2 linked regions of the Astyanax mexicanus genome follow. The protein of the gene in region 1 interacts with the protein of each later gene in a pairwise test. Links are inferred from orthologs where the notes say so. Each region holds a gene or a part of one and is shown in the gene's direction. Other genes may lie near its edges.

The links.
Region 2: the proteins of fam114a1 (region 1) and rab2a interact in binary tests that used the Homo sapiens proteins (3 or more experiments, as listed by UniProt). The two-hybrid records come from large-scale screens. The link is inferred for Astyanax mexicanus from reciprocal best matches to the Homo sapiens genes FAM114A1 and RAB2A.

The regions. Positions count from the first base shown.
Region 1 is NC_064432.1:6,772,708-6,782,132, reverse strand, and holds the start of fam114a1 (protein NOXP20), read left to right. Parts: upstream 1-5,867; 5' UTR 5,868-5,962; intron 5,963-7,396; 5' UTR 7,397-7,402; coding exon 7,403-7,723; intron 7,724-8,908; coding exon 8,909-8,990; intron 8,991-9,425. UniProt on the Homo sapiens protein: May play a role in neuronal cell development.
Region 2 is NC_064425.1:41,315,602-41,324,457, forward strand, and holds the start of rab2a (ras-related protein Rab-2A), read left to right. Parts: upstream 1-5,404; 5' UTR 5,405-5,706; coding exon 5,707-5,752; intron 5,753-8,856.

The DNA.
Region 1 (9,425 bases):
GAAGACATATAATCATTAGATTAAAATCAAAAACACATACTATTATGTATGGGGGACATGTGTGATACTATTTTAAACATCTTTTCAGCAGACAAGGAGATAAAACATTCATGCCCTAAAGATGAATGAATCCAAAAGTCACCCATATGGACACAAGAAAGAGAAAGCCATCAATCAGACATGCTGGAAGGCAGAGATCTTTAAAAACTACGATTACCTGAGCTGAGTGTTGCAATGCTTAATTGTTTGCATATTATTGTTTGGCGCCGGATTATTTTCTTTTGGTCTGAAGCCCTCCACACACATACAGACACACACACACACACACACACACACACACATAACTAAATATTTTACCTGCTCTTCATTTTATTCTCAAATTAGTCCACAATTGTATTAGCCCAGTCCTGTGTAGAAAGCAACATAAAAAAAGAAACATGTCAAAGTTTAGTTACAGAAAAGAGAAGCAGACAAAAGAGTGTCCAGTGAGAGTGATGTATGCAACATTTTTATCACAAAACAAAATCTGTATCCAAGAAACCAAACTTTTGTAAATAAGTCCAACCATTATGGCTTTTAGAAAAAAGTGTTTTGGGGATGGGTGGGTAGTGCACTATAGGACTCTGTGGCACGGCCTAAGCTTAATCCCTTAATGGAATTTTCCCTTTATATTACTTTTATATTTATACTATAAGTAGTTTTACAAGTTTTAAGTTTTAAAGTACTTTTACACTTTTACTTAAAGAGTAAGAAGCTTGAGTTGATACTTCAACTTATACAGACGTATTTTTAACACTAGTATCTATATTTCTACCTACAGAGTAAAAAAATTAAATACTTCTGACACCTTTGTCTGTGTTTATCAGTAAATGTATAATATAGAACATTTTAACTCTGTATAAACACAGCACAGTCCACACAGGAGAACAGCCATTTTACTGTTGTGCCATTTTGTTCCTTCCAACCAGGAACTGGGTAGAGTTCACAATAACAACAAAGAATATTTTGAAACAAATCTGTGGATTATTTGTTATTTATTTGATATTTTCCCAATTGAACTAGTATCTAATGGAGAGACAGAGACATAATCTGCCTTTATTCACTTAGTAAAACGCTACAGAAAGGCTGTTTAAAAGTGTTTTTACTCACCTCGCGCTCACGCGTACCTACAGATACATTCTCTTTCGTTCTTGGCTGACAGCGCCGCCCCTCTCACGAGCACACCAGCGCGAGGCTGAGCTTCTGATAGAGACGCCGCTTCACCGGCAGGGGGCTCTGCTGAGTCAGTTTTCACCATTATTAAGTGTGATCATGGTGAAGGGCTCAGCAGTGAAGCTCTTTTTACAGCACTCTTTAAATAATATTTCTCAAAAAATATATAATAATAATTAATGTAATGTTCTAAACTGTATGCATATGTACAATAATCACTGAACAATTCTAACAAACAACTATGCCATTTTTAATGTGACTCACCAAGAAGCTACAGTTTATGCTTCAACTCAGCCCTGAGCAGTATGATTGCCGGTTGTTTGCTCTATTCGTTTTTCAGGCTTGTTGGACTTCATGAGGCCCTGCGCAGTCTGCATTTTTTTTTGTTCGATTTGCGTCTGCGCCTTCACCACAGGACAAATAAATAATCAAATTGCCAGCGCAAAACTGTATTACCTAGCAACACTAGCTTTAGTACAATTTCTTATTTTTCTTTTAATATCTACGTTATTTAAACGTGTTTAAAAGTTTTGAAAAGGTTTTAATTAGTTTTAAACTGTAAATATTATTAAACTAGTTCATATTATTTAATTTACAGCCTCAAAACTGATTTCTGTTACATTTTAGGGGGACTTTTATTTTTACAGGAAATCGTTTTGGACTTCTGCCAAGTGTTGCCAGAATCACAATGCTCTTCAGGCTTTAAAGGCAGTTCTTGCAGTTGCTGTTTTTGAGCTGCTTGAGCAGATAGACGCCCTGGATCTCTCTTTTACTAAATAATGCACATTATAATAATATGGTGATAATCTTTGTGTCATTCTTTATTTTATTCTTTATTTAAAAATTTTCTCTCTAAATTCTTTGTAAAACTGTTGCTTTGTTGATTTAAAAACTGCAAACAAGAATGTTTTTATTATTATTATTATTATTATTATTATTATTATTATTATTATTATTATTTATAAAAGAAGAAAATTCAGACCTAAATTATATATATTATTAACATATATTAATATACGTTAGAGTAGTTAGAAACCGGTTACTCCTTTCTGATTCACGAGTTGCCCTATCCTGCTTTAGGACCGCCTACCTTATTAACATACAAATGCAGAAATACAGAAATAAAATAATTTTTTTTTAAATTAATTTATATGTGGATTTATTTATTCATGCCTATGTAATTTTTCGTTTAACTGAACAGGGGTAATTGAATTGTTTTCAATATGTAACACGGAGGACGAGGCCGGATGCAAATTCAAGTTGGTTTTATTTGACATAATAAGATAAACAAATAACTAGGATAAAAAAAAAATAAACGCTAAGACTATAAAACAAAGACTATAAAACAAATTACTAAACCAGGTCAAAACAAACAAATAAACTATCAAAGAAACAAACACTATTAAGAAACCAAAACTGAACTCTGTAGACAAAAACACAGATTAACATCCAGACACAGTTGAACAGGACGGCATCAAACAAATAGCAGGACAAAGAACAAAGGAGCATGGGGTATTTATACACAGGCACACACTAGGGACACCTGTGGAGGTAATGAGGGGGCGGAGTTACAAATGAGACACCGAAATGGCTCCCTACTCCCTCATTAGTGTTGCGCTATGTAGGGAGATACTAATAAGTTCACTAATTAGTGGTAAAACAGGAGTGAATTCGGACATTAACTCATCATTATCATGCGCCAGCACCGGTCGCATAAACACACACAGGTGACTCACTGAACTGAGCTCTAAATTAAAGTTAGTGAAGCTCTGAGCTGATCATGAAGTTATTTATCTGCTTGTTATATTTACGCTGTTTAAAAGATGATCCTGACATTACTGAACTACATGAAGAAACTCTTAAAAATAGCAGCGTACACCGGCTCGCACTGTTGCCAGATTGGGTGGTTTCATGCCAAATGTCGAGTTGTGTCAGAAATTGTCAGGAGGAAACGCTGTGATTTGACAGGTGAACAAAACTACCAAGTGTAAAGAGTTTGGAAATTTAACTCGGCGGTGTTGTAGTTAGATATCTAACCCGCAAGAGTCCTGCTGATGGAAATTTGAAGTTGTGTTTATGTTTGTGATTAAATGTGAGTAAGTTATTTTTTTTCTTTCATTGCTTGCGAGGTTGTTTTTATATACTGTTTTTACGTTTTTGTTTCGTGTGTCCAATGATACAAGGAACAAAACACAATACAAATATGCAGATATACTCATTTAAATATCATTTTTTGTAATCAGTGATATTTAAGATATTTATGATATTTTAGTTAAGATCATGTTGGAATAAACCCTGTAATATTGTTAATATGACGAATATCAGCTGTTTGGGTGTTTTCTCAGTAAATGTGTGGATCTGAAACACGTTTTACCCAGTGAATTGGTTTTATCTGGTTTTATCTGCAACCCTGGTGGCTCGCTGTCCGCTCCGTTTCTTCGGCTGTCTGTTGCTTAGTAGCGAGAACCGCAATGCATTAAGCAGCGAAGTTTACTATAAATCATGATGCATTATAGGAGTTTTTAGTGCCCTCAAAATCACGTTCGAACCCCCCCCCCCCTTAAGATTCGGACACTCAAAGAAAAATGGCTGACATACTCAATAGTGCCCTAACTAGTAAATAGGGAGCCATTTCGGTCACAGCCAAGGTGTTAACACTAATGACTAGGGCAGGGCTAGGGCGGGGCTAGGGTGGAGACTGGACCATAACAAAACAATGCCATATGCTCAAAAGCACATGACTGGGAACACAAGACAGGAAAACAGGGCAGGAGCACAGAAAACCAAAAGAGGGAAAAACACAGGACAGACACAGGCTAATGTGTGACACAATACATCTTGAATAATAAAAAGGCAGTCATTAAAAGAAATTACTAAATTTGTTTTATTTCCTAAATAATTAGTTGTAACCCTGTTATCAATAAACATTGTGTGTCTTCTGTTTTCAAAAAAGACACTTGACTGGATTATTGGACTTTAAAGCTCTGTACACACATAAAGGATTTCTGAATTTAAATATGGTTAGACCTTCCTTATTGTTATTTATAAAGATAAATATCGGAAATGCACGTCGTCCTGTGTCTCAAAAACACTATAAACACTATCAGCTTCAGTTTGTTCCGCTGGCTGTTTAATAAAATAACATGATTCATTCTAACTTAAACATATAAAAAAATGCAGGGCTCGTCCGGGATTTGAACCCGAGACCTCTCGCACCCTAAGCGAGAATCATACCCCTAGACCAACGAGCCGGACGGACAGCGTTGAGCTGCAGTAACACCACAATACTGGAGCTGAACTAACGCACAGGATACTTCTATGATAAATGGATCATATACACAACTGATATATTAAGATACACTTTAAATACACCACCCACTCAGCTCAACCAATCAGCATTTAGAAAAAAACAACCACAATTAAAAAATAGCTGTTTAAATGCGTTTAATTACCATTACAGACTGGAACTGCAGGCTTATATGCCTGTAAAGGTTTTTTTTTTTTTACTAGTGCTGTCAGTCGATTAAAAAATGAATCGATTAATCACAATTACGTGCACCTTTTCTTCTTCTTAAGTTTTTAATAATGAATATTTAAATCTAAATAAAATCAACAGTCTTAAATGGCAAAATGAAACCTTATTTATTTATTTATTTATTTATTTTTTATAAAGTAGGCAAATGCATATCGTTTTCAATGAAATTAATATCGCATTGAATTTCAACAATAAAAAAATATTTAATATGGTGCAATTTTAACTACCATTTATTTATTTATTTAAAATAGACAATATCATTCATATTGTGATGTACAAAAACAGCATTGTAAGAGAAAGATAAAAAAATAATAATTAATTTTATATATAATTTTATTTCTAATTTTTTCCCATTTTCTCCCCAATTTACACGGCCAATTACCCAACCCATTCATTAGGACTCCCCCTATCACTAGTGATACCTCAACACACCAGGAGGGTGAAGACTAGCACATGCTTCCTCCGATACATGTGAAGTCAGCCACCGCTTCTTTTCGAGCTGCTGCTGATGCAGCATTACCGAGCAGCCAGCGCGCTTGGAGGAAAGCGCAGCGGCTCGGCTCCAGTACATCAGCTCACAGACGCCCTGTGCTGCAGACATCCCCGTAGGAGTGATGTGGGGAGAGAGCGCCATCTACCCACCCAGAGGGAGCAGGGCCAATTTTGCTCCCTCTGACGCCGGCAGCTTGATGGCAAAGCTGCATGAGCTGGGGTTCGAACCGGCGACCTCCTGCTCATAGTGGCAGCGCTTTAGACCGCTGGACCACTCGGCGCCATAATAATTAATTTTAATTAATTAAAGTGCATTTATTGTTTTAGCAGCTTCTTTGTGTTGAATAATTTTTTTATTTTTATTTTTTCCCCCCAAAAAAAAATATTTCCAATTGACACATACTTTATTCACAAGTGTAAATATTTGACTTTAATGCCAAAATTTTATATTTCTTTTCTAATTGACTGATGAATATTCAGAACAACTAAAAATAATATATGTTTAGAAACTGTAAAAAATTATGACGAAATTACTTTTGCCTCTTGTTAATATTTTGTCGTTATTTTTTTTTTACTAATGTATATGTTCAAGCTGTCTTCTATTATTATGATTATGTTCCAAAAGTTTTGGGTGACGTCACGGTTCGTTCGCGGCACGTGGTCCGCTGCCGACGTGGCTCGCGCCTGGGCGGAAAGAGCAACAGCGCTGCGAGAGCGACACCGGTAAGATCAGCAGCGCTTTAAACACAGAACTGATTAATCCTGATTTATTCCTTTACCTGCTTTTAACCCTGTTTACTGCACAGCGGCGGGTTAAAGAAGAGTACATGCTGCGTTACATCCTCCTGCTGCTGCTGCTGGAGTCAGTCCTGCTGAGCTGGGCTGTCCCACTGTCTGCAGAGCTCAGCTCACTCTTATTATTATTATTAATATGAAGTTTAGCTTCATTATAAGGAGGATGGTGATAATGATGATAAGCTCCAGAGTAGCTGATCTGCAGGAAAACAGCAGGACTGGTCCGAGTCGTTTTAGAATAGTGAACATTTAGGTGAAGTTTAATATTTTATGTTGTTAAAAACTTTATATTGATGCTTTGTAGCTAATTGTCTCTGTCAGCATCTGTATAATCCGGTTCTGTTGTTTAGATTTCGTTTTTATTACCGGTGTATCTTGTTTTAAATGCTCTCATTTACTATGCATTTTAATTTTCAGAAAAGCTTAGGCTTTGGTTGAGTTTAGTTGAGATGGTGGAGATGGGGTGTGGTTTCATTGACCAGCCTCTAGATGGCGCTGTAAGCCAAGTTGAATAGAAGCTATTGAAGCAGAAGAGTGGGTGGTGTAATGGACAACAAAGCTGTGTGTCAACACACACACACACACACACACACACACACACACAAGGCTGTGATTGTATTGCTTAAAAGAACCTTTGATCCAGCCAGTTAGTCAGACTGTTCTATAAAGCTTAGTCACATCCATAATCTAAAATTCAATCTATTGGCCATGTAATTAAAATAACTACTTGATATTGGACATAGGGTTTATGTGTGTATATATATAAAAAATATTTATTCTGTGGTATAGCTCACATTTTATAATGTTTTATAGATACTCTGGTATATGCTTTTGGGTGAAGTTCAGAAAATATACAAAAACAAATTAAAAATAAATAAATTAACCCCTGTGAGGTAAAATGCGTTAACACTGATGAGAATTACATAGAGTCAATATCTGACTCTATCCAATGTTGAATTAACTAAATTAAATTGTAACTCTTGTGGTAGAGTTATTTTAACACTATAGTAAGTGCGACCATATGTGATCTAGGACAGTGTTAAATGTAACACTTAAATAGTTAATGTAACGCTAAATTTTGCTGTGTATAAAGTGTTTACGAATTACATCCCTTTTTCTATACAGTCTCTTTATTTCAGGGGCTCAAAAATAATTGAACAAATGAATCTTACCATAAAAAAGAGAGCAACATTTTCTTCAGCGTGCACATGATTTTCTTTTTTTTTTGCTTGCTAGTTTCACATTTGTGCTCACGAGAAGTTCATTTACACACAGTTCATTTTTGACATTTGACGACTTTTGACATTGGTGTGACGCCATACTGTAAATATTTTTGTATTTACATCCTTCCCTTACTTTCAGAACACCATGTCACAAGAGGACGTAGCGGCAGAAGTGGGAGACACGTCCACACATCCCGACCCTCCTCTCTTCGAGACGTCTTCAGATAAACAGACCCCCAAATCTGCACCTGAAACTAATACAGATGAGCCACCATCTGCTCCCCCGCTGTCACTGGCCGCACCAGAGCCAGAAGCAACCGGTGAAGATGTGGAGAAGCATGATTTAGCCACTCAGCCTGAAGATCCTACACAGGGCCAGTCAGCAGAAAGCACCGGGGATCACATGATGGAATGTGGCGAATCAGTGAGCTTGGAGCCAGATGTTCCTGCTGAAGCTGAGGAAGAGGTACAATTGTTTTGGGTCCACTTTTAGAAATGAAGGAGCTTTTAATGGTTATTTGAGTGATCCCGTAGATGCCACAAAACACAAGGTTAGGGCACCAGGTGGTCCAGCAAACTAAAGCGCTGCCACTATGATAGAGAGATCGCTGGCTCGAATCCCGGTCATGCAGCTTGCCATTGGCTGCCGGAGCCCCGAGAGCACAATTGGCCTTTTTCTCTCTGGGTGGATAGATTATGCTCTTTTCCCACATCACTTCTAGGGTGATGTTGATCAACACAAGGCATCTGTGAGCTGATGTATCGGAACTGTAAATATAGATGTGTTAGATGAGATGAGATATAGATTAGTTTGAAGATTTAATTCTTTTAGGGAATTATAACTTAATAAGTAAGCTTAGACACACCTAATATTTGAATTTTGCTTCTTTAGTTCTATACCGAAGCTACAAGGCTAATATAGCTAACAGATAATGGAAGCTGATGTACACAAATTAGCTGTGTAGTTGAGTAGTTTCTAATAAATTTAATAGCTCTACAGGGATGCACCAAATCTTTAGCAACCTTTGTCTGAAAATTAAAAAATAGTTTTTCTGTGTTCTGTAAAAAAAAAATTATAATAATAATTTTTACCTAAAAACATATTTTTTTCTTTACAGCCATAATTCAATGTTTCATTTAACAATAGTAGCACTGCATATCAGATCTGTTTTTATAGCTGCTCAGCTCGCAGGGAGAGAGCCGCCAAAGATAGCAGAGAAACAGCAAATTATTATTATTTTTTATTCTCAACTTAAATCAAGCATTCAGCGTCACTTATCACGCTTAATATCCATCAACTCTGTTCTTTTCAACTCTTCACTTTACAAGCTGGCTGTTTTTCAGCTGAAAGATGCGAGCTGTACAGGTCTAGAATGATAAATAGATAAGCTAGATAACTTACAACTTACTTTCTCTTTGTACATTTTAATTACATTGACGTTCATAGCACTAATGAGGTACATTTATAAATAGAATAGAGGTAAGTGTCTGATTAGAATAGCTGTACTTAGGTAAATGTATGTTTAGAATGGAGCTGCTAAAGTATATTTACGATTATAGATGTGTTTTGGCTAAGTGGTTATATTTGAGGGAAAGATTCTAAAAGCATCACTGTAATGGATTGTGTGTGTGTGTGTGTTTTTGTTGCCAGACCTCAGACTCGCAGTCTAAAGGTTGGGGTGGATGGAGCTCCTGGGGCAAATCTTTACTGACCAGCGCCACATCTACAGTAGGTGAGTCACCCCATAGCAACCCTGTGGTCATAGATCTGTTACTATAGTAACACACACAGTGGCTCCATCTGTCTTGGAGAACCGCCTAGTGATAAAATCCCATTTTCCTCTAAACCATCCACACTCTTTCAGTATATACTCATTTTTCACTACTACTAGCTCACTGATAATTACTTATTATCTAGTAACTCCTTAATTCCTTAATTTACATACATATTGATTTGAATAGTTTACATACATAACTATTCAATATATTATAATGTTTCAATAAGTACTGATTATTCAGTAGCTCCTAACCAAGTACAAATTATTTAGTATCTACTAATTATACATTAGCGACTAATTGTTTGGTAAGTTCTAACGCTTTAGTATCTACCAAAAATTATTATTCAGTCTATATGAACTATTCAGTAGGTATTAAATATATAGTATTTA
Region 2 (8,856 bases), on another chromosome or scaffold:
TGAAAGTCAATTTAAAAAGAGTTATTTCTGTTTTTTTTTTCAAGAGTTTCTATTGGTCTGTTCATCAAGAAATTTTGGCACAGTGTAAGGGACAGTTTGTCTGGTCAAATTATGTAGTAAACTAAAAATCAACAAAAATGGAGATAAGTGTTTTTCATAGGACAGCGATGATATCTACAATAGTAATTTACTGTCAGTGAATTACAGAGGATTACAATTTTTCTATTGTAAGTTTTGGCATAAAATACATTAACATACTGAAATTATTCTTTACAATAAACATTTGTACTTTCAGTGTTTAAAGTTTTTATTTGCCAGTGCATGGAGAGAGAGAAGAGAGATACATAGTTTTAGAGTTAGAGAAAAGAGATACACACTTCTAAGAGAGAGAGAGGAAAGAGATACACACTTTTTTAAAGAGAAAAAGAAGATACATTGTTTTTTGAGAGAGAGAGAGAGAGAGAGAGAGAGAGAGAGAGAGAGAGAGAGAGACAGGGAGAGAGAGAGAGATGAAGAGAAAGGCCTTATACAGTATAAAAAGAGACTGAATAGAGGGAGAGGACCTCTATTTCTCTATTTCTAATTCTCACATGATTATTTGTATTGAAGAAAAACTTCACAATCTAAAGTCAAATACTGTAATGACTGTTAAGGTAATTTACTGTTTAATTAAACTGCGTTTGTAGCTCAGTAAAAATGCATTAAAATATTGATTGTACATGTGTTACAGTGATCTGCCACATGAGCACACACACACTAACAAGATAATACTGCTAATATTGGCATTTAATTTACTGACAAAATGTATTTTATCTCAGAGAGACCTTTTAGTTAATAACAGGATCCTATGATGGAAAGTTGCTATTATAATAGAATTTGTGTGTGTGTGTGTGTGTGTGTGTGTGTGTGTGTTGTCCCATTGTCCCAGGTGAAATTGTAAAGGGCAGTTGAGCTCAATGTGTTCTGTAATCCCTCTGACCCACATTTACTAAAATTAAAAACTCATAATTGTGTAATTTCCCTCTTTCTCTAATGAGCTGTTAATTGGGTCGTTTTCCTCCCTAAAGGTTATAGTTTTACTACAGCACGAGATCACACTCAGATAACTCATACTAATCACAACCACATATCTAACATCTTAATGTGCACTCCTTTCAAATATCAGAAATAATATATGGCTTTTGCGCATGTGTATACCTGTATCTATAGTGCTATATAAAAGTTGAGAACCAGTTTACATTTAATGTTTTCCTTTACTCATTTTCTAAATTGTAGATTAATTAAAAAGACATGGAAACATTTAAGGGACACATATGGATTTATGTGGTAAACAGTAAAATAAGCGTTTATCCTCCACATGAATCCCCTGATCTAAAGCTGATGAACTGAGATGATAATTTGAGGTGATTTAAGTGGGATGAGCTGGAGCTTCACAGCGTGAAGAAAAAGCAGCAGCTATTGTTCAGCACCTCCAGAAACTCCTTCTTTCAAGACGCTGAGAAAAATATTTCAGGTGACTCTCCCTCATGAATACACTGAGATTAAAATCACACCAAGAGTGTGCAGATCTGTCCTTAAATATAAATGTGCTACTTGTAAGAACATATTCTGATTTGTTTAACACTTTTTACAGAAAAATGCTGCATGTGTTCCTGTAGAGCTTTAATATAGACGTCAATATTAAATTTACAATGTAAATTTGTGGTATATATATATATGACAAATATAAATATAATACACACATATATATATATATATATATATAGAGAGAGAGAGAGAGAGAGAGAGAGAGAGAAACAGAGAGAGTACTTCCAATTAATAATCCCATATCAATAATCAAATCATCAAATCAGTTCTCTTTAAAGCCTTCATATATAAAGCATTATAAGTGTATATGAAGACATATAAGTGTATAAATATATTTAAATAAATATAATATAAAATAAACATAACTGTCTAAATTAAAAATAAAAAGTAAGAATAACAAATTTGCAAAAATGTAGAAATGATTCATATATATGCCCATGCTGGTGAAGCAACTTGGTCTCACTGGTACAACATATAATAAGTGTGTATATAACATAAGTACATGTAATTACACTTTTGTATATATTTAAAGGTGAAAGAAGTGAAAGGAATAGGATCTGTCTGAAGGTGCAGCGCTGGCCTCTAGTGGACAATATAAAACACAGCACAGCTTTTAAAGGAGTGATTTTATACATATTAATAAAAACATGCATTAAAAACCTGATCACTATTAATAACACACATTTACTCTCAGAACACTTCACATTCATTATGATGAGTGTCTACACACCCCCATCTATGGACACACTCTCAGTCTTGCTGATACCTATAACACTATTTTGCACTAGTAGTTCATTCACAAGTTCATTCATCTACTGTTTACGTATCTGTCGCACTGCTAAATTTTAATTATTATATAACTGTGTATTTGCACTTTCTGTATGGCTGACATCAGTTATCCTCACTTTATGCACATCAGCTGGTGTTCACTGTATATTGTGTTCAACTGCACTACCTCCATTACACACACACACACACACACAAGACTGTACTTTTATACTTTTCATTTAATTTTTTTATTTCATTGTATTTATATGTATCGTTATATTTTATCTTTTTGTAACTTTGTGTACTATACATACCTGCTGCTGGATGCCTAGAATTTCCCCTTGGGGATCAATAAAGTATCTATCTATCTATCTATCTATGAACTAGTGCTGTCAAGGTTAACAAGTTAACACACAATTAATCTGTAAAATTAAACACATTCATTATTAATACATTAATCACATGACAACAATACATAAAACACATTAACAAAGCCTGGTAATGTATAATCGGTTTCATTCAGCCATGTAAACACAGCGTCAGTACTGTTCCGAGGTCAGTAGGTAGATTACTTTTTATTTAGGATTAAACAGGGCTCATTTCTATAGCAATAATAATTGTGACACAATATTTAAAAAATGTGATATTCATTTTCAACACATTTTCAATATTTGACTTGCATCTTGCATATCATTTGTTTTATTTTAAATCCAGTGTGATGGAATGCAGGCCAAAATCACAAATTGTCATTGTCTCACTGTACAAATATGTATGCGCCTAACTGTACTGTATCGACCAAGTATACTGTGATATAAAATCTTGTGAAATAAAATTTCAATGCTGAAGTATGGGTTAAATCACACACACACACTGCTTTTGAAACAATGAACCACATCATCCTTATCTCTCAGTTAGAGAGGTGTTGGTATTCAAGGCACCCCTTTAGAATGTTTTCTGTCCTATTTGTCTGACAGAAGTTGGTGATATTGTGAAAAACTCCAGCAAAATCGAAATCACCCACCTTAGCTTCTGTAATATATTTGCATTGTACTAAAATACATTAATATTCAATGGACATATACAGTGGTATGAAAAAGTCTGGGCACCCCTGATCATTTTTATGATTTTTCTTTATAAATCATTGGTTGTTTGGATCAGCTATTTCAGTTAAATATATCATACAGCAGATGAACACAGTGATATTTGAGAAGTGAAATGAAGTTTATAGGATTTACAGAAAGTGTGCAATAATTAATTAATTAAACTAAATTAGGCAGGTGCATAAATTTGAGCATCCCAACAGAAAATTTACATCAATATTTAGTATTTACTCTTTCTATAGCTTCCAATCAGATTCTGGCTTCTGGTTAAAGGTAAGCTTTCATCCTACAAAACATGGTCTTTGTTTCTCCTAAGGTTTCTTCCTCCTAATGTAAGGGAGTTTTTCGTTGCCACTGTCACCACAATTATTGGCATTACTGTGGTGCTGCTCATAAGAGGCTTACACCAGTTTTCTCTGTAAAGCTGCTTTGTGACAACTTTTGTTGTTAAAAAAAAGGCTATATAAATAAATTTGAATTGAATTAAACATTGTTTTCAAGAATCTGCTGATATTGACTGGAATCCATGTGATCCTCAACTTTAACAATATTCCCAGTTTCTGCACTGGTCCCACAACCCCACAGCATGATGAACCACCACCAGATTTTACTGTGGGGAGCAGTAAAGTGTTTGTGTTGAAATGCTGTGTTCTTTTTCCTCCATGCATAAATAACTGCCCTCTACATAATTTATTCCAAAATGAAGCTGGCTTGCCTAAATGTGCTTTAGCTTTATCTTTACCTCAAGCGACTCTGTTTGTGGCGCAGAAAAGGCTTCTTCTGCATTTCTCTCCCATACAGCCTCTCCTTGTGTAAAGTGCACTGAATAGTGAATAGTGAACGATGCACAGTGACTCCATCTGCAGCAGGATGATGATGTAGGTGTTTGGAGCTCTGGAGGTCTGTGGGTTGTCTATCTTCTCCTCTGTTTATCTGAGATTTTTCTTGTTCTGTCACTTCAGGTCTTAACTTGAACTGTGTCTGTGGTTCTTCCATTTCCTCACTCTGTTCCTCACAGTGGAAACTGCAGCTGAAATCTCTGAGATTTGAGCTTTTTGTATCCTTACTCTAAACACCATGATGTTAAACAATATTTGAGAGTTGTGTGTTTTGAGGCTCCCATGTTGCTGCTCTTCAGAAAAGATGCAAAGAGGAGGAAAACTTGCAATTGGCTCCTTAACCCTTTCTTATAATTGGATTCACCTGTGTATGTAGGTCAAGGGTCAGTGGGCTTACCAAACACATTTTGTGTTACAATAATTAGTGCTAAAGATATTCAAATCAATAAAATGACATGGGTTTGGTTTAAATTTGGTTTAAATAATTATTGCACACTTTCTGTTAATCCTATAACTTCATTTCACTTCATATCACTGTGTTCATCTGCTATATGATATATTTAACTGAAATTGCTGTTCAGAACAACCAATGATTTATAAAGAAAAATCATGAAAACAATCAGGGGTGCCCAAACTTTTTAATACCACTGTATGCAGCTGAAACAGGGAGCCGAGTGCATCCCAAATTTATAAACTTTAACATTTTATTATAACATTAAAGTCATTATGGCTTTTAGACAAATGTGTTTTGGGGAGGAGGGGGATTAGAGCACTATAGGACTCTAGGAAGCGGCCTAAGCTTTTGTTCTTACTAGCTTTATTTTTTCCTCTTATATTACTTTTACTTTTATACTTTAAGTAGTTTTGAAAACAGTACATTTACACTTTTACTTAAATAGTAAAAAGCTTGAGTTAATACTTCAACTTCTACAGAAGTATTTTAAACCCTAGTGTCTATACTTCTACCTACGGATACTTTTCACACCTTTGTTTATCTTTAAAAATCTGACAAAAAAACAAGGTACAGGTAGTTCGTATGTGCGTGCGCGTGCTCGTGCCTGCGCTCTCCACTGCTCGTGCTCGCGCTCGCTGGTCTGCTCGCTCTCGTGCAGTTCCGGTTGCGTGGCGGAGGCGGTCTGTGTGACGCAGCAGCTGCTGGAGCTCCGGGACGCTCGGCTGTTTTTATTGTTCCTTTAATAAAAGCGACGCGCAGAGAGAAACAACAGAGCCGCAGAGATAGAGAGAATAGAGAGAGAAAAGAGAGAGAGAGAGAGAGAGAGAGAGAGAGAGAGGGATAGAGGGAGAAAAGAGGAGAAACACAGAGAGAGAAAGAGAGAGAGAGAGGAGAGCTCTGTGTTCTGCTGGAGAAAGCTGCTGCTGCTGCTGCTGCTGGGCTGTATTAGCGGAGGGCGATGGCGTACGCGTACCTGTTTAAATACATCATCATCGGGGACACGGGTAAGATCTTAACACTCCCTTACTGCCTCACTCACTCCTCTACTCACCCCTCGGATCACTCCCGGGGTGAGACATGGGCTCACAGTGGAGAAAACGGGGTGATTATTGCTCCTACTTGAGCTGTTTGCTTGTTTTTTTTTAAAACGTGTTACACCGAAAACTGCAGCTGCCGAATTGTGTGACCCTAGAGGGTGCTGTTCTGCTATATCCGAGTTCCTTACGCAGACTACGTAAGTTAGCTATTTAAAAGAGTCGGATATGCTATATTAATAACAACATGATAAAAAATTGTTGTTTAAAGAATTTTGCATCACAAGTACAAGCCAAAAAAAATTGAAAAAAAAGATTGAAAAAAATCAATACAAATAAAAGATTATTACATTAGGATTAGGATGTGATAATAAAAAATTATGCATTTAGATATAATACAAAAACGACAAGAAGACAGACGAACTAGTACAGTACTAGTCAAGCCCAAAAGTAAAATAAATATATGTTTTAAAAATGTTTAAACATATTAACTAAAGATTTTGGTATTCCAGATCTATTATAATGTTGTAAGTCACTCGTAAAGCACTTTTAAAGAATGTGACAGAAGTGCAAATTAAGCAAAAAAAGGTATAGGTTTATTAATGGATTGATTGATTGGATGATTAAATAAAAAATAAAAATATTTTATGTGAAGAATTGAGAGGAAAATCTTTTTATAACATCCACAAGAAGCAGACTATCATACTTTAAATTATATTAACAATAAAAACTAACAAAAAATAAATATTGCATTTGTATCGTTTTATCATTTTATTGGATGTTTTTATTGTTATATTTTAATTGTTGTTTTTCCTCTGTTAAAGTGCAGACAGGCTTAATCATAAGGGGTTACCGATTCTGACAGCGGCCTTTACGTGGACAGAATTCGGCAGATCACAGATTTCGGTGTAACACGTAGGTTAGAAAATTGACGTGTAGAAGGAAAAATAAGCAACCTAAATTTGGGTGGGTTACACATTTTAACAGTAAAACACGCGTTTAAACAAACTGCACGGCTGTCAGAGTGGGACATCAGTGAAAACTGGGTGAAATTAGGTGTTATTTACTGCCTGCTTTATTTCAGACTGGGTGGGGGAAGGAGTTAGCCAGCATGCTAACGTTGACTAGCGCAGTCTGTCAGATTCTGCGCTAACAGAATATAGAGAAATGTAGTATAAAAACATATACACACATCTTTAGACCCGTTTTCCTGGGTTTAAGCAGATATTTATGTGCGTGTCTGTCAGAAACTGCCTGTTTATGGCTTCGTGTGTGATGCTAAGCTAACGTTAGCACCGCTAGCTAATCGCTAGTTTAGGCCACAGTGGCAGTATTTAGCTTTAGCATTAGCTTAGCGTTAGCCTGTCTGTCAGCAGATGTGTGTGAAAATGGCGTTTAGTGAGTCTGGCTTTCAGATGTGCGGCTCAGATCTTCTCAACAGGCTTTATTTATCAGCTCAGATGATGTGGAAGTGTAGGTGAGACTCTGAGGGATGGGGAAACGCTGATTCCCCGGGTCTGACTGTGGGGAGGATCTGTAAGGAGATGCCAGGCAAGGCCCTGCCAACCTGGACTGGCACTGGTTCTCCTCACTAGGGCTGTACGATATGAGCAAAAATTCATATCCCAATACAGTACATTTCATATCCTGATATACACGATATATACTACCACTCAAAAGTGTCTTTTACCACACAAAAGTGGTTATTTTTTCTTTTCATGTTTTTTTACATTGTACATTTTTTAAGACAGTTTGAAGACTGTCAGTAAAGATATATAGGAACACATGCTGAATTAGTAGCACATTTATCTTTGAGGACAGATCTTTAATCTCAGTGTCTTCATGAGGGAGAATCACCTGGAATAGTTTTCACAGCGTCTTGAAGGAGTTCCTGGAGGTCCTGAATCTTAAGCTCAACTCAAATCACCATCTCAGATGATCAGGTTTAGAATAGGGGATTGTGGAGGACTAACACTTTTTTGCTGTTTACCATGTCATTCCGTACATGTTTTCCCTTCTTTTTATGTATTTAATATTAATCTACAATGCAGAAAACCTTGTAGAAAAAACGTAGAATAGGAGGGTGTGTCCAAAAATTTGACTGGTACTGTATATCACGATATATCACATATACTGATATAACACTCAGAAAAAAGTATGTTTTCAGATTTTATTGTATTTTTATAAAATATTTTATTGTATTTTGTATAAAATAGTGATGCACAATGGTATCAGAATTAAATCGATTTCGGATAATAATTACTTCCTCTCTTTTTATAATCGGCATCAGCCGGTTTGGCCGATATTTCAGCCCAGTATTTTTTTGTTTTTAAAAAGGTAAAAAGTTTAAGTTTAAAGCTGTGAACAGACTATGTAAGGACCAGTTAGCTAAATACATTTGAAACCCAGAAAAATGTGAAACCCAAAATATGAAAGCAAATTTTTCATTTTATTGTTTGCATTCAGTTAGATTAAGGCTACAATGCAAAGCAAATGAATGTTACGTTTGTTCCTAGAGGTATACCGGAGTGTTTAGACTGTTAATAATAAATGTGTATATCTGAATTAGTTTTGGAAGATATATACATGTGTAACATCGAATATCTGCATCTGCCCAGAATTCATACATTGTTGCATTCATATTTTCAACTACACTGAAATTGTGCATCTAAATTACAGTCAGCATCATGAGTCAAATCACTTTTATATCATTTCCCTGACCTGCACATATTCCAGAACTCATCTGCTTTAACTCACCCTCCTTCCCTAAAAGCAGGTATTAATGATCTGATTAGTTGATCAAGTGTATTTGGAGCAGGAAAATCTCAAAGTGTGCAGGACAAAAATGATCAGGATAGAGAAACTGTTCTTTGAAGACAGAAGTTCATACTGAAATTCTTTAACTTAATTTAACTTAATTCAAGCCTGCAGAAACATGATGCAGTAGTGGTGTATATGTGATGTAAAGTGTCCCAATTTCGATCTCAACACTATTGCCACCCTATTATTTCCTATATGGCAACATCATTGAAGTGTACATCTCAAAGAAGACGTTAGGGTTTGGTGCAAGAATT